Linked DNA regions of Rhinolophus ferrumequinum. The protein of the gene in region 1 interacts with the protein of each later gene in a pairwise test. Links are inferred from orthologs where the notes say so. Each region holds a gene or a part of one and is shown in the gene's direction. Other genes may lie near its edges.

Evidence for each region.
Region 2: the proteins of NUP58 (region 1) and MIS18A interact in binary tests that used the Homo sapiens proteins (3 or more experiments, as listed by UniProt). The link is inferred for Rhinolophus ferrumequinum from reciprocal best matches to the Homo sapiens genes NUP58 and MIS18A.

The regions. Positions count from the first base shown.
Region 1 is NC_046287.1:97,837,706-97,846,607, forward strand, and holds the start of NUP58 (nucleoporin p58/p45), read left to right. Parts: upstream 1-5,049; 5' UTR 5,050-6,632; coding exon 6,633-6,739; intron 6,740-8,902. UniProt on the Homo sapiens protein: Component of the nuclear pore complex, a complex required for the trafficking across the nuclear membrane.
Region 2 is NC_046285.1:98,524,707-98,533,801, reverse strand, and holds the start of MIS18A (protein Mis18-alpha), read left to right. Parts: upstream 1-5,516; 5' UTR 5,517-5,540; coding exon 5,541-5,883; intron 5,884-8,959; coding exon 8,960-9,026; intron 9,027-9,095. UniProt on the Homo sapiens protein: Required for recruitment of CENPA to centromeres and normal chromosome segregation during mitosis.

The DNA.
Region 1 (8,902 bases):
GGGAAAAAAAAGTGAAGGGGAAATAAAGACTTTCTCGGGAGACCGGTTGGCTTAGTGGTTAGAGTGCAGTGCTCATAACACCAAGGTCTCTGGTTTGATTCCCACTTGGGCCAGTGAGCTGCACCTCCCCACAACTAAATTGAAAAAAAAAAAAAAGACTTGACATCCTGGAAAAACACACTGTTCCCCAACATTACACTGTTCCTCAACAATAGATCTGTCTTGCAAGAAATGTTAAAACAAGTTCTTCAGAGAGAAGGAAAATGATATAGGCCAGAAACTTGGATCTACATAAAGAAAGGAAGAGCATCAGAGAAGGAATAAGTGAAAGTAAAACAAAAATTTATTTTTCTTATTCTTAATTGATCTAATAAATAAGCTTGTTCATAATAATAATAGCAACAATTTGATTATGTATGCTTGTGGTATATATATGTGTGTATATACATACTCATATAAGTGAAATGAATGGCAGCAATAATACAAGGAAAGGGACAGAGGAATTAGGATTATTTTGTTATTGTAAGGTACTCACTCTCCCCAAAAAATTATGCTGTAGAGGAACATTACATAACAAAAATGTTAATGCTGTATTACTGAGTGAAATATAAACTGCCTATAGAATGGTAAGTTCAATGTGATTGTGTTTTGTAATTTTTATTTATACAAACAAAACCTTACATTTCTAGATGGTAGGATTACCCGAAAGCTCATTATTATAGGGATATACTAAATATTCCTAATCTGGGCTTCATTGCTGAACAACTCCCCTCCTGAGGGTATTGTTCTTTCTTTAGGTATGCCACTCGGTCATCTAAGCTCCTATCAGGACATAGGGAGAAGTCATGCTGTCTTCTTGAAGAGTCTTAAAACATCTATGATTTGATTAGTTTTATTTTGATGTGTATATTTATAATTTCCTTTATCATCCAAGTTCTAGGGGCCACATGGATTTTGCCATATATATGCCACACACAAAAAAAATGCTGATGTCACTAGTTACTGATGACTTTAATAAAATATCATTTTCTCAATTGACCATACATTTAAAGATGAAGTTTTTTGCATCAAAAATAACAAATACACAAAAAGCATTAAATAAACAATCATGATGATTTGAAATAATGAGGAATCAGAGCTTTCTGCAATCATTTCTCCCTAATGTTTCATGTTAATTTTTATACTGTTAAAAAAAAAACCCACTTACTTTCCCTATAAAATGTACAAGAGATGTCTGATGCTATGATTGTCATGTGAGAAAACGTTTCATACTTTAAAATTAAATGTTGATGCTTTTATGTTTATTACCAGCTAATGGGAAATTATAAAAGCAATCATACTTCCTAATTTGAGTGCTTCTTAAATAAACATAAATCATTAAAAAAGCAAGACTATTTCACTTGATTACATTTCTCAACCTTTATTTTCAGGTGTATTATTTCAGAAGATGAAGTCGATGATCAGAATTCTTTCTGGAGTCAAAGCTATCTGAATTCAAATTTCATTTCTGCCACTTACTGGCTATGTGAGTTTAGTAAAACTATTTAGTTTCTCTAACTCTTGGTTTTCTTATCTGTAAATAGCAGTAGCACTTATCATTATCTCCTCCACTGAGTTATTTGTGTTGGTTAAATGAAATGATTGTATAGAAATACTTAAGCAGGGGGCTGGCCTCAATAAATGCTCAATAAATAATAGTTATGTGTATGTGTGTGTTAAGCAGAATGCATCCTATTATCCCCAGAGATGTCTGGATACCTGCTGAACCTCATTCTAATTCTTCAGCACTGAGTTCAGAAGTTTATTTGGATCTGGCTGTGTTCACTGGGGAGACTGAGTGAAGGATAAAACAATTGTTCTTACTGTAGTGCACTGTATACTGTATCATATTATGTTGATCTTATTGTTTTCTATAACCCTGCAATTGAAGAGGTGCACGTGGCTTAGCGAAGTGCATATATCCAGGTTAGCTGACATACAGGACTGCTTGTTTCATGCTCTGTTGGAGGGAGACATATTATTATGTTTCCAGAAGGTCAATGTGACCCTCACTCTTTCAGGATTTGAAAACTTGAAAGCTTGCTCCTCATTGTTTTAAAGAATTTTTAAATTATTTTTCTGTGTATCCTGTGTGATTTTCTCTCTGAATTCTTTAATGAGTAGATCTTGATGATTTACCCAAGTGGTAGCTGTGTCTGGTCTGTCTATTTGTGCCTGCTATTGACATTGGCTGATGCAGTGGTCAGTCATGCTCTATGCTATGTAACCACTTTATGAACACTGGGTTCTTACGGGGTGAAGCAGGCAGCAGCTTTCTTTCTCTTCACTGCTATCCTTCAAGCCTGCTTTGTCGGCTCCCCTTCTGCCTCTCCTCAAATAGGAGCTTGAGCTCCTAGAGAACTACTAGTCACTCTTGGGTTTTAGAACAATCTGATTTTTAGGAGTCAAAGAGTACAGTCTAATATAAATAAAAATTTGCCCTTGTATCTAATTCAAAGTTCTCCTCTTTCCCTGTACTCCTGTTTTGGTAACAGTGCAGATGGAGGTGGGGACAGAGGGGAAGGGGAATCTATTTTGACAAACTTATTCCATCTTCTCCCCATTTGCTTGCTAACTCCTGCGTTTTCTTCCTGAGACTCAGGTCTTACTATACTAGTCCCATTACTATCTGGCATCACTGATTTTTGTGTGGCAGATCTATGAATGTCTGCATCTTTCTCCCTTGGGCACTCAATCAATTAATTCTTCCCCGATCTGCTGTGACCTAGAAATCTCAATTCTCTGAAATACAACACTTTTCAGTTCATTTCTTATGAGCTAGATCTTGGTTTCTGATATACTGAGGTCTGGCCATTTCTTTTTCTAGATTTTCTTGAAACTTCCCTGTATCCGCATAATAACACTGTCTTCACACATTCCCTCACAAATACACATTCATGCTTGAACTACTTTGATAAGTTTTCTATTCCTTGCAACCAAAACAGGCCTAACTAAGTTATGGGAAAACTGATGACATCACAGGGAATTGGACAGGCTGGAGGGAAATTTCGTCCATGCTATGGAAAAGTCTTATGACTGTATTCCTGCTTCATAGCAGTGGACATTGGTTTAGTGGCCAGAATACATGCATCCATCAGGTATGGCAACTTGTTTCCTTGAATGATGAAAAGAATAAATGCAGATAAATTCTTCCTCTTTGGTGCCCATTTTTTGGAGACTAGAAGCTGACCATTGCCTTTCTGGTAGCATGTTTCAAAACAATTAGATAACAGGTTGTTGTTGCTTTTATTGTTATATTCCAGTCCTATAGATATTTTGGACCTTGGTTCATCTTGGATATTCATTAACACATGTAAAATGTTTCTGCAGTAACACAAGTAAAAATGAGTCTTTTAGTGTGGATTCCTACTCAAGATGATATACTAAATTTAGCTATGAATAATAGAGACCCAACTATAATGGCTTGAACAATACAGAAGGCAATTTTTATCTCATTTGAAAGAGATGTGAAGGTAAGCAGACCAGAGTTGGTATGCTGGCTCTATGATATCATCAAGTACTTACATTTATACTATTTTTCTGCTATACCCTCCTTAGCATATGACTTCTGTTCTTAAGTTCTTCACAGTCCGAGATGGCTGTTGGAGACCCAGTCACGTGTTTAAGTTCCAGGCAGTAGGAAGGGAGAATGCCAGTTACCTCCTCTTCTAAATAAGTCACACTGGAAGTCTTATCTCATGTCTCCCACTGACATCTAATTAGCCACATTTACTTGTAAAAGAAGCTGGGATATGTAAGCATTTATCTGGTTAGTGTGCTACCTTAAACAAAAGTGGGATTTTTTTTTTTTTTAAGGAAAAATGAAAATTGGTGGCAACAAGATAGCTTCCTTCATTAATTTTGACATTGCCAAGTTTCTTTTCCTGATCTTATCTTTATCCACTATGAAGCAACTTTTTCATTTCCCGCCCCCCCACACTCACCCACAGCAAGGACATTTCAAAATAAATGACCACATGTTGAATCAAATACATTTAGCTTCATGGAAAATCCCTATATTGCTTCCATTTTTTTCTTGGGTTATAGGTGAAAACTTCATTGGGAAACCGGTCATTACTATTCTGATCCTTGGTTGGAAACTTTTGGTATTAGCTTTAGCTTCTCCCTTAATGTTTTATTTTGAAAAATTTCATACCAAAATAAAGTTGGAAGAGTACAATTAAACAACAAATATACCTTGCTTGTAGAGTCACGAATTGTTAACATTTTGCACATTTTCATTATTGATCGATTGCTCTATAAATTTTATTGTTGTTGGATCTTTTGAAAATTTAATGGGATTTTAGACCCCTTCGGAGAATAAATTCAAGATAGAGGGCAACTGGTTATTATAAAAAGGATAATCTTCTCTTGGATATTTCATAGGATCAGACCATACATATTACAGATCCCTTTAAATAGACTTCAGATTGCAACTTCCGTTCTGTGTCAGAGCCTTTCAACTGATACTTCTCAAAGGGTTAATCTGATCTGAGCATACCATAAAGCAAGCCTATTTAGATATTTTAATGCAAACCGAAATTAAAATTATAGTGCTATTGCATTTCAGATAATTCAATTTGATTATGACATTAACAACGTCATTGTATAGCCAGTAAATCAGCAAAAGATGGGATTTCTTACCAGAATTCTCACAATAAACAAAAAGCCAGGAGGAAGCAAAGTGGCTTGCCATAGAATTTAGAAATCTGAATAACTTGCTTCATCGTGGAAAGCAGTAATTCACATAGAATTGATATATAGTTCAGGTTCCATAATGTCAAAGAGGAATATTTGGAACATCCTTTACAATAGGATGTCACTCACACTAGGTAAGGAAGGTTAAGCCAAATTCCAGTGCTCCATCGTTTTGCCTGGCTGCATAGGTTTTAGGCATAAATGCATAAATAGGCATGAAAATTATGTTATTACCATTTTACTGTCTACTTTTCAATTTAATAACCAAGTAATTGGGCTTACAGATACTGCTTTCATTGGAGTTTTATTTAAATAGGACATAAAGATGTGTTTTCTTTTCTTTTTGCTAACAGGACAAACAGAAATCGTCTGAGAAAGGGTCTTTAAGGACCAACCATTTAGAGGCATGTGGTAGACTGTAATACTGTTCATCAAACATTGCAGTTTCCATCTCTGCAGTGCTCCTGTGGGATGTTTTTCGGTTGCTGCGGCACAACTCAAACCACTCTGATTTGAATGAATTTTGGAGGGACACAATTAAGCTCATAGTAGGTGGCAATTCCCAAGTTCAACGCAGTACAAAGTGCTACATTAAGGGCAGTTGTGAGATGTGAGGTTAGTAATATTGGTCACGTGGGGGGCACTGAGTGCCAAACTAGAACCACTGAGTTTTTTTTTATCAAAGCAGTGTGGAGGTGAGAATTCTGTTTTAGGAAAGCAAATCTGGTGGTTGCTATGGGATCAATTTTACTGGAAGAAATCGGAGGTAGGAAAACCATTTGCAGGAGCGATGTAACAATCCCTGATGGAAAATTAAAGATCCACATTCCAACGGCAGCATCTCAAACGCACCACCGCCTGGCAGTCTTTCCGGATCCTTCCGCCAGAGGGGATCTTTTCTACGAACCCGTATTTTCTTCTGTTTAAGGGTTGCTCCTAGAACACTTAAATATCACCTTATATTGTACTCGTTTCCGTAGTTTTCTTATCCCTTCCACTTTGCAGTTCCTCTAGCAGGTGGCACCGTGGCGGCGTCGGAGCGCCGCAAAATCTGCAGGAAGCGGTCGCGGCGGGCGGGGTCTCACACTCTTACGCTGACACCCTTTGTAGACTTGACTACGTTCTTTAGACATCCAGGGGGCTTGGCCAGTTGTTTGCTCAGCACAGCGAACAGGGCGGCCTATGCCACCCACAAAAGGACGCACTTCTCAACTTTCTCGGTGTCAGGGCATCGGGCTCCGCTCGCCATGGAGCAAGAAGGTGATGCTCACTTCGTTGAACGGATGACTTAATTATTATCGATTAATTTCCTGGCAGGAAGCAGACACACTCGCCGTCCTTTAAGGGGTGGCAGCCACCGAAAGACTAAAATAGCTTCCTTTTCTGTAAGAGGGGCTTGGAATACTCAAGAGGACCCTTTCACCTCCGAGATTCTGCGCATCGTTTTTGGCAGTAAGCAAGGATATAAGCAACAATTGAGATTCGAAAGCCATAGAGTACTGACTACGTCAGCATAGAGGCTGATTGAAAGCGAAATGGTTCCGTTTGTATAGAAATCTGTGAGCCTTCCCCTAAAGGGAGTAAGCAGAGCGCCAACTCCGCCTTCTCCCAGGGTGCTCTGCGCGACACGTCGACCCCACCCCGCATCCCAGGGTTCCCTGCACGGCGGTCTCGCTTCCGGTGGGCTGCGTGCGCGCGCCCAGCGCCGGAAGGTGCTCATGAGTGATTGCTCCGCCCACCCAGGCCTCATCTTCGCGGCTGCTGGGGTTTGAGGTTCCCGCCGGGCAGGTCCGGGCTGGGCGAGAGCGATGCTGTGCGGCCCGCCTCGGCTTTGAGGCGAGAAGAGCGTCCCAGACTCCTTTCCGCTTGCTGACGGCGCTGAGCCCCGGGCAGTCATGTCGACGGGGTTCTCCTTCGGGACCGGCACACTGGGCTCCAGCACCGTGGCCGCCGGCGGGACCGGCACAGGCGGCGGTTTCTCCTTCGGGACAGGGGCGTCTAGGTAACCGCACTTCCTCTCCTTCCGGGCCCGGGTCCTCCCCGCGAGGCCCTCGCGGGGTGGTCCCGCCTCTCTTCCCGCTGGCTTGGAGAAAAAGAATTGCCTCGCGCCAGCTTCGTAGGCCTCCGCGCTCGCTTCCCAGCTCGGGCCCGACAGACGGCCTGGTTGAGAGGAGCGTGGATGGTCTCTGTGTTGTGAGGTCCCCAGAACCCGCGATGGTTCGTATATTGTTCCTACCGAGTGAGATCTGGCTGGGAGTTGACATCCGAGTCCTAGCAAATTCGTCAGTCTTAGGCACAGAATGAATGTTGAGCGAATGAATGAAATTGTAGCTTGTTGTGTGGGGTTTTGGAAAACACAATTAATAGAAAATTTGAAGGAGGACAAATCAAAGTTTCTCCCTGATAATTCAGATTCCATTGCAGGATATACGGTTTTAGACACTACAGTGCATTAAAGATTTTGTAGTTAACGAGCTTTCAAGTCTTTGTGCCTCATGGGACCCTCTGTCCTTTTTGTTTATTTGTTTTAAATACGTTTTACAGCATTTATTGGTGATAATTTTGGACAGTATGCAAGTTAGTAAAGTGGGGATGTTGTGTATTAATGACTTACATTGCCTTGATTAAATTGCAAAACGTAGGTGACATTCATCGTTTGTGTGTAATCTGCTACACCCTAAGTGGTGACAAAAATTTGGTTAGCAGAAGTCCAGAAAGAGGCAATTAAAATAGTTAAAGATCATTTTAGCGATGACAGATTTAAACTTTAGAACTAAATATTTCGAAGATAAAGGTGGAGGAGTTCATTAAATCATAGGATGAGTTACAAGATATCTTGTGAGGCTTTAAGAATGTGGTTGTAGATTAAAGAGACAAAAATACCTTCAGCATTATCTGTATTTAAAAGGGAGGTGGGAACCACAGAGTACACAGTCAAGTCAGAAATCTGGAAGTTTTCCTTAATACCTCCTTTTCTCTCACTCCACACACTTAATCAGCGAGGCCTGATAATTTGAATTCTTCATTTTATATTTGCTTCATTTCCAATGCTACCACCCTGTTGCAAGGTCTTGTCATTTGTGGAACAAATACTTATTGGACACACTTCTATGTAGTAGGCTCTGTAGTAGGTGGTAAGATAAGTAGGAGTCCTACTCTCCTGAAGCTTATGTTCTTATGAAGCTTATGTTCTTATGAAAGTACTTAAGATTCCTGCCAGGTTTTCAACCAGTGACCTTTCTCTTGTGAAATGAGAACTACTTCCATCATCTTCTACTTAGATTAGTTCAATGAAATCCCAGTTGCTGTCTCAAAAATCTACTTTTATGTCTCTCTTTTTTTACTACATTGTAGCCAGGTTGATTTATTTTAAGTTCGCATTGCCTCTCCAATGATTTTCCACTATCATTGGAATGAAGTAAAAATAAATCTTGCTACGGTCCACAAGACCCAAATAAGCTGGAACCTCTTAGGCTGGCTCATCCTGAGCCCATCGTTTCAGTTTGCTCCAATTCAGTGGTCCAGACCCATTGTAAAAAATAACATGTTGTCACCCAGTTCAGGAACACAAGTAACAATGTTTCAGAGAAAGATACTTACCGGTATCTCATGTGATACACTTTGATATTTTCTATTCTGTTGTATTTCATTTAAAAAAAATGCTGTTACACTCTACTAAATTGATTTTATACCTTCTGATGGGTCCTGATCTTAGTTTCAAAAACACGGCTTTAGCAACAGTGGCTCTTTTCTCAGTTCCTGAGGTGGGCTTGGCCAAACTCCATCACACTTTAGGGCAGGTTCCTCTGCTTGGAGTTCCTCTACCACCTCCTTGCGTAACCATGTGCCAAGCTAATGCCTACTTTTGGGACTCACATGTTTACTTCCCCAGAGGCCTTTCCTGACCTCTCAGTGCAGGAGATCTGCCCATCCTCATAGCACCCTGCACCCTGCACTTACCACAATTGTAATCAGTTCAGTATCTTTCTGTTGACTTACTGATTGTCTGATCCCAGAAATAGAATGTATGCTCCATGACGGTGGAGACCTTTTCATACTGTTTTTCCAGTAGAATAGTGGAGCTGAGTACATATTTGTTGGATGATCGATCAGTGTGTTTCTCTCACTGCCTGGAAACTTCCGGAGGGCAGGGTGTGAGTGTTTA
Region 2 (9,095 bases), on another chromosome or scaffold:
AGACCCCACTGTACTCAGGGTCCAGAGACCAAGATTCTAGGCTGAAATCTGTGTGTTAGTCAGGACTCTTGGCAGTAAGTGACAGAAACCTGGTTCTAACTAGCTTCGACACCAGTGGGGTTTATGGGGTGCTGTGAGGGGAGCTCACAGAACAGGAAAGAGATATGGAAGTGGGGATGCAGCTGTTACTTTCAGCCTCCACCTCGTATCTTCTCTCTGAGGGTCAGTGTCAGGCCAGGCTGTTCCACGTGGCTGGGGACACGCCTGACGACAGCTCTGCGATCGTGATTCAAGAGGAAAGGGTGGGCAGAGGACGCTCCCTCCAAGCGTTGGCATTAAAAAGCTCCAGGGATGGCCAGGAAGCTAAGACTATCAGAGCTAGGGCACAGACCACCTCTGGGATGGGGAAGGAGTGAGATAAGACCTTCGAGATGGGAAGCCCCACCTGGGGTTGGGGAGGAGGGTGGAGCACTTTTCCCAAGAAAAGGAGAAGGTACTGGACATATAACAGCCCAGATGGCCACTAATCTCTGCCATTCACTAGATTCATGACTTTGCAGAGTGAGATGTGTGGACTAAGCATCTCTATGATTCTTTCCCAGCTCAAATATATTATGATTTTTCTGAAAATCACATGTTCTTTTCATTTTTTTTCCAACTTGCATGAGAATTAAATATCTCTGTTAAAGACCGGAAAATCGTGATTCCACACATTGACTAGGAGAGGGGAACAGAACTATTTAAAGAACATCCTGCCTCTGAGGAGTTTTTGAAAGGTGAAGCATATTCCTGTAGTTCTTGTTGCACTCCTGGAACACAGATATAAATATCTAACCATACTTTTCCCACAGCACATCTTATCCCCCTAAGGAGGGCTCTGATTGTGGCAGGAGGTCCCTGGGGGCTCAGTGAGCAGCATGGAAATTTCTTGGTGCCAGCAGGTAGGGGGAGGCAGCTGTGGGTGCCATTTGGCTCCCAGACATATCTCCACCAATAAGAGTTGGACCAAATGGTCCTCAAATGCAGCTGCAACCAGCTCTCTAAATACTAAAGGGGACAGACAATTGACTTCTGTGACCTACAATCATACCTCATTGTCATTCTTATGGGTAAGTGCAAGGAAGTGCATGCAATTAAAATCTAGAGCATGATTGCAATCAGTAGCCATTAACTCCCCATGTTCTCCAATTGCCAGAGCATTTTTAATAAGCCATACATTTTTCCAGCAAAATTGTCAAGGCCTCATTAGTTTCTTCTATCCTTTTTCCTATTTCTTCTCTCCCCTAGTTGTACCTAGTTGTTCTCTCTCTCTGTCTCTCTCTCTCTCTGTCTCTCCCCTGGTGCTAGCCGTTGACATTAAATCAGACTAGCATTTATTTATTATTTACACCAAAGCTTTTGAACCCAGCCAGAAATGAGGATTGAATCAGATAGTCCGAGTAATGGGTATGTTGAGCAAAAAGAAGGATTGAAGGATAGAATCAAAATAGAACTCTATTTGGAATTTTGCTTCCTCCCGTGCCCTCAGGACTTATTTGGTGCCCCAGGATGAAGACAAGGGCAGTGTGTGTGGGGTTCCTTCTGCTTGCCTCTCCAGATCACTCTCCACCCTCACTTGTATAAATCGCATCAATATGCTCAGTGATCTCTGGATTGCTACTGGATTTTGACCACTGGGAGCTCCAGCAGGAAAGTGGAGGGAGGGAGGGATGAGACCACGGTCGTCGGGGGATTTTTATCTCTTGCTTTCCTCCCTGTGAGGTCACCTCAGCTGGCTGTGTCCCTTGGTGGAAGGGTGATCCTCTCAAAGTAGTCTGCTCTTCACAACTCTCTTTCCTTCTGGGTTCTAGTAACCTCTCACTCCCTGCATCGCTTTGGGTCAAGGGAAGGGTTGTGTCAGCGCACTGCTGTTCACTTGGGTTCCTGCGCTATCCCTCAAGATTCTCTCCTATGTGCCATCTACACCTTTATTATCAGACTGTTTGTAAAGAAATGCTCCCCGTAGTCTCGGAATTTGAGTGTACCTCTTAGGGGGTAGACAATGCTGCAGCTACTTTAGTTGCAAACAAAATCTCAATGTCAGAATGATAATATCCAATCTAAGATATTAATACTGCAATCTTCACTCCAGGATAAGAACTGTTCTCCTCCCCAAAGTAGGACATGTAAGTGGGCCCCTGCTTCTAGTGGGGGAGGGGTGTGTGGCTGGCTCTGCTTTCTTTCTCACTTCTCCTTGCTGTTTCCATTCCTAGGTTAAAATGGGGAACAAAGAGGTCAAGATGGTATTCATTTGAATTGGTTCTATCCTAACCTGGCTTCGCACCCTCTGGCCTGGCATGGTTAGAACCATCTCTCTCTCGACCCCTTGGAAACACCTTGCACTCTCACCCCCAGCTGCACACCCACGACCCAGGAAGGTCTCCCCTTGGACTGGCTGCTCCCCTCAGCCCTGCTTCTCCAAGGCCCCTTTCACACTTGGATGTTCGCTGCTGGAGAATCTTCATTCTTTTGTATCCTCTTAGGGTAGGTGACCTACCCACCAAAGTTCCTATCTGGTTGACAACCTACCTGGCTCACCTTTGTTATGCCACCAAGACAGCTTGATGCCTGCTGTCCACTGTCCCCAAACACCTGGGAACCCACAGACTCCGTAACTGGTTCCTCGAAGTCTCTTAGCCAGATTGAGGCAAGGGGAAGATACTCTCCACCTTCTCTCATGGGGAGAAGTGGAACTCATAACCCAGCCTGTCTCCAAAGAAATCTTTCTTATGAAGTTATCTTGGTCACCACTTTCTCCAGGCTTTAATATTCCCCAAAGGTGGGAGCTAGTTTAGGGCAGGAAAGAATTAGTTCTCCAATATCGGCTCTGAAGTTCCCTGCAGAGGAGATAGGCAATCTGTCTCACACATTTTAGTGTGTCATTTTTACTCATCTTCGAGTCTCAGTCAAAATTTCCACTTTAACATACTGTAACACACAGTTTTTAATTGCTAGTAAAACCAAAACCACTCAAACTGGCTTCCACAATAAAGAGAATATGTTGGCTTGCATAACTGAAAAAGTCCAGAGGTTGAGCTCTCAGTTTCTCTGTGATTCTCTCTGTTCTGTCCTCCGTCTTTGAAAGGTGACCTGGGTATGTGCTTCCCTGCTCACATTCAGGGAACAAAGCGAACATCTCTGCCTTTAACCATTGAACAAGAGTCTTGAGATTTACTCTGATTGGACAAAATTTGACAACTTAGATGAAGCTGTTATCCTGAGCCAATCCCTATAGCCAGAGAAAGAAGCACAATGCACTGATTGGCTTAAGACTGGGATAGGAGCCATTCCTCCATCAATGACTATGGAGAAGATGGGTTATTCTGATTAGGTTAAACCTCTGGGGACCCTTTCCTAGAATTGGTGGTGATGGCAGTGGAGGTGATGGGGGTTGGACTCAACCTTATCCAAATCTCCCAGTTGTAAAACTAAGAGGAAGGGTGGGACTGGTTGTCCAGGAAGCAACTACAACCACCCAATCCAAGGTCATCTTCCTCAAGCATCTCATTTCTTCCTCAAGCATGTCCCCACATAAAATATGACTTTGTGGGTATCTAAATACTATGTATTCATAACACTTGGGACTGTAGAGTTTGTTTTGCATTGAGGTTGACATCTCACTAGGCGTGGTGCCTAAGGCCCATAATATAATTGTGGGTCCCCATAAAAATGTTTTAATCTCTTTTAACATCAGAAGAAAAAAATTAAGTTTTAGGTCAAAGAAAATGTTTTAATATATCATATTTATATTGAGTCTTTATAGCAATACAGTTGTAAAATATAATTTATATTATTATTATTATTATTATTATTATTATTATTATTTCTAGAGGAATGGGCCGGCACCATAGCAAAAGTGTGTCGGTGAGGAAATGATCAGGAAATCCACTTTGCATTTCTTCTTTACTGGGATATCCCGCCACAGAATTTAAGTGTTGAGGCAGAAATCATCCCTTGAATTCCAAGATGACTACCCACTTACTAAAGAACATATATAGGTTTTATCAACCTTGTACCAGAGACACTGTGTTGACAACCACAGTCCAGAGACGTCAAGCTTGCCTGCACAAAAAAGGAGGGAAAGCAATTCTATGCGTGAAATAAAAACCGAAAATAATTCGAAGTATTTTCCTCTAGCTGGAGGCTAATTGACATGGGCATGGTGAGCTAAAGTATTTTCATGTATATTCTATCACTTGACCTTCATAACATCACTGGTGCAGTACTGACCCATTAATCTTTGAAGAATCCGAATCAGGGAAGGCAAGTAGCCTTTCCGCAGTTTCCTACGCAGTTACTAGAACCTCAGGGAAGGATGGGTCAACCCAAGGCTTCTGACTCCAAAGCTTTTGCTTTTTTTGCAAGTGGCCAGAGGCGCTAAAATTTGAAGTAAAATTTATGTAAATAACTTATCTGACCAACAAAGTGGGCAGTGATTTAGGGCACACCTAAAGGATCGTCTGAGCAGACCCTGGGCCTTGGGGGTAACTTTCTTTCTAGACATGCTCCCGGGTTGTCCGCGCTGCAGCTGGTCAGTTCCCCATCAGCCTTTCCCGTCTCTATTTGTGGTGCTTTAACGTCCGAGGCTGGCTTTCGGGGGCAGCTGAGCAAGTCTGTCCTTATCACACAGAAGGGATACTCATCGCGCAAGGGGCAGATGGCTCCCAGATCCGGACGGCAGAGGCACTTCCAAGCGTTCCTGCAACAGGCAGCTGCACACCGCGCGTATGCTTTTGCTTTGCAGGGCTGGCCGGAGTGATCCGGCGCCCTTTCCAGGGTCTTGTTGGAGCCATACCAGGGCACCCAAGAAATGTGTGACGGGGTGGCTCCCCAACAGCCCCTGCTTTCTCCACCTCGTGGAAATCAGGCAGACACACTGGAACACTGGCAATCCAAAGTGGAGCTGCCAATGCTGACAGAGTGGGTATCACCTAGGAGCTTGTTAGTTAGAAAGGCAAATTCTTGGGCCCACCGACCCATCGAGCCACATCTATGAAGGTGGGGCTCAGTATTCTGTGTGAACCAGCTCTCAGGCGATCTCATTACGCTCCAGTCTGAGGGGCTGTAGCGCCTCCAGGAGGGACGAGGCCATAGAAAGCAGATGTGCCCAACTCCTCTGTCTCTGGGTGCCGTGTGGGGCGGCGTAGTCGCTTTACCGACCACGGTGCAGGTCTCGGTGAGAGAACGGGAACTTAGTTCGGGGCGCGTAACTTTCTCAAAGACACCGCCCCTCCTACGTAAGTGGCTGGACACCCCTAACCAGGTAAACTGGCCATCACATCTCTAGCAGCCTTGATTTACAAAGGACGGAAAACCTGCAGCTGGCTCAATCACCCCCGGCCGGCTCAGGCGACGGCGAGCTTGCGCATTAGCGGGCTGCTCGCCGTCCCGCCTCCCTCAGGCCTCGCCCCTAAAGCCCCGGCTCCGCCTTCTCGCCACGCCCCACGCATGCGCAGAGGCCTTCCCCAGTGGCGCTCTGCTGCGCGGGCTATTTGTACGTAATGGCGGGTGTTTGGTCGCGGGGCAGTTGCGAAGGTTGCTCCTCTACCAGCTGTGCGTGTGGCAACAAGGGCACATGGAACGAACCCTCGCCGTTAAGCCAGCGACTATTGGAAGACTCAAGCCGCCACCAGCTGCTGCAGAAGTGGACGAGCATGTGGAACTCCGTGAGCGGGGACATGTCTGTGGCCTGCGCGGAAAAGACGCGGCGCACGGAGGCTGCGGAGCCCGCCGAGGAGGAAGACAGGCCACTGGTGTTTCTGTGCTCCGGCTGCCGGCGGCCGCTGGGCGACTCGTTGAGCTGGGTGACCTGCCAGGAGGACACCAACTGCATCCTGCTGCGCTGTCAGTTGCCGGGAGCGGGGGTGGGTGGGTGGGGGACGGGGGGTGTGTGCTCAGGGCCGCCTTCTTCCAGGTGGGCGACCCCGGAGGAGGCGGAGTGGGGTGGGTGCTTAGGGGCTGCCCAAGGTCTTTAAAAGCAGAAAAATCCAAGAGGGCGAGCTAACCCAGGAAAAGAGGAAGAGGAGGGTCACCCCTGCTCCTTGGGCTCACGAGTGACAGGTCCTTTTCTGGGATCCCCCGTCCATTCATCATCAGTAGCGGTTGAATGGGTATAGTTGTATTATTCAGTAAAAAATGACCAAGTAAATTGTAAGCATTTGAGCAGTAGACACTCTGTTTCCCCATAGAAATTAGTGGGCTGTTAATTGGTAAATAATATTGCAAATGGATTATTTAGGAAATCAAGCTTTTCAGCTACCTGCTTCCTGCAGGGGGACGTCAGGATTGATTTCTCACATCAGATTAGTTGTATCGACAGACCCCTTTACAGTCTGAAGTGTGGCGACCATGGAGTTGACAGAACACAATGCTATCAAAAAAGTTTTAAAAGGAAACTTGCAATAAAAGCACGAATAACCCCATCAAAATTGGAGAGGAAGGAGGATCTAGTAAGAGTTAACAGGAAGGCGGGAGTTCTAGCTTTTAATCTTGGCCTTACCAGTTAGTTACCAGTATGCTTTCCCACCTTTACCTGGTTACCTTGTTTTGTTGCTTTTATAGTATTTATTTAGGGGAGTGGTTCACACATATTTTGTTTCTGAATTCGTGTAAAATTGGCTCTTCTTTTAGGCCTTGTGGTTTTCAAGTTGAAGTTTATGCTCTGAATTCTATAAATGTTTTGATGGCACAAATTCACCACCAGTTTACTGACGTTCCTGGAATGGTTTCTTTCCTGTGACAAAATATCGGGAAGAATGGTGGGCTCCAGTGTCGGTCAGTTACCTGAAACTCTTTGGTACCTGCCGTTTGGCCATAAGGATGCATCGGTTCATTAGCAATAATCGCTGAGGAGTCCCTCTCAGTTGTTAAACAGAAGCCTAAGAATATACATCTCCCATAGTAATTCATTGGGATTAACCCTTTGACCTGTTGAAATCAAATAGTGGAGAAGGATGTAAACGTAAAAAAGGCCTTGGCCCTGACCCTGACCCTTCATAGCCCCAGAGTTAACGTGCTTAGTCTCGTTTGTCTTTCCAGATGTGCTTCATGCTTGTATAAGCATATCTAAGTATGTCTCAATTTAAAAACACACTTGCGATTGTATTATTTATACTGCTAAGCATCCTTACTTTTTTTATTCCACGGATATAGTCTGAATATTTTTCCATACTAGTGTACATGGATATCCTTGATTTTATCAGATGCTTATTGCGCTCTTGCTGAGAGGCTTTATAGTGTGGTGATGGCCCCCTCAACTGCTTGCTTGGGTTTCAATCCTGGCCTGCTCATTTCCAGCTATGTCTCTGGGCAAGCTACTTAGCATCTCTGTGCCTCAGTTTCCTCTTCTGTAAAATAGGGATTTTTACAAATTGATTTAACATCTCCCCCAATGAAAGATAAAAAAACAACAACAATGAACTCTTGGATTAATTTCCATTCTCTTCTGCCCCAGTTTGAGTTAGTTGAATTATTTTTACTTTGTCAAGATTTCTAACATTTACATATTATTCTGTAGCCATAGCACGGTCATTTTAGCTTTCATATAATATTTATGTGAGCTCATTTCTCAACTCCAGGACTCATCAATATTATGAGAAGGCTTATTGATAGCTTTCTCATTCCTCAGTTTGATTAATTGCTGTCAGTGGTCTCTCCATCCTCAAGAAAACTTCAAGTGTGAGTGCTTGAAAATGTCTTTCTGTTGTTTTTATACATGATGGCAACTTGGCTGTATGTACAATTCTGGGATCATGCTCTTTGCTTTTCCCAGGCACAAGGAGCAGTTAGTGCAAAGACCTGGAGACTTGTGTGGCCAAAAAATAGAATAACGATAAGACTTAGGGAGGAAGGAAGACACCCGAAAATTCAGGGCCTTGTAGGCTGTTCTGCAGAATTGGAATCTATTCTAGTGAGTGAGTTGTGTAAGCAGGGGTGTGACGTGACCCAGATTTTCATTTGGAGGAAGCATTGAAGGGAAGAATAAGGATGGAAGTGGAGGTCGGAGCTAGTGCAGTGGCTTAGGCAAGAGGAGGTGGTGGCGGTTTGGGGGCTGGAGTGCGACTTGTGAGGTGGCACAATTGACAGGGCTTATCAGTGTAGTGGGTGTGGGGGAGCGGCATGAGGGGATGCAGAATCAAGGTCGGCACCCTGGTTTCTGATTTGAGCCCCTGGATAGATAGGTAGAGTTTACCGAGTTAAGGTAGACTGTAGGAGGAGGTGACATCCAGAGTGTTTTGGCCATTTTAGCACCATCTCTTGCCTAGGCCCCATCCTTTGCTTTAGTGGGTCCTGGACCAGGATCCTCTAGGAGTGCTTCTTGATTGTTCTGGAGTTCAACTGTGACTCCTATCCGCGTCTAAAAGGTTTTTGGCTGGCTTCCTGAGGACACTCGCTAATTACTTTTAGAGAAATAAGCTGTACGTTTAAGCTCTGGAGAGCTGTGCACTGGCTTTCAGCATCTTCCTTGGTTTTGACTCCAGTTTTACTGTACCTGGCAGGTATTCCTGGTAGTTTTACTGTACCTGGCAGGTATTCCTGGTAGTCTGTGAGTTGAGGTTCTAATTGTTCCAGCTTTTACTGTCGATTGAATTTTCCCCTCTGATTTTATTCATTTTATTAACTTCAGTAGTTTTCTGGGAGGGAAGGAAATAATTCTTACTCTGCCACCCTTTTCCAGAATACTCCTGGACATTTAGCTTTAAACCACCCGTGTGTGTGTGTGTGTGTGTGTGTGTGTGTGTGTGTGAGAGAGAGAGAGAGAGAGAGAGACAGACAGACAGACAGATAGATAGACACTTTGGACTCTTTTTTTTTTCTGGCCCTCTGAATTGTAAAATAAAAGTTGAATTAGGAATTCTCTAAATGTCTGCATGTGTATTATAACAAACCACATTAATAAATTGTTGTTACTTCTTTCTAGGTGTTTCCTGTAATGTGTCTGTGGATAAGGAACAGGTACTATCCAAACGTGAAAATGAAAATGGTTGGTGAGTAAGGCTATATCTATGTGAGTATGTATGTTAGGGAAAATGTTTATTTTTCAAATAAAACTCTTT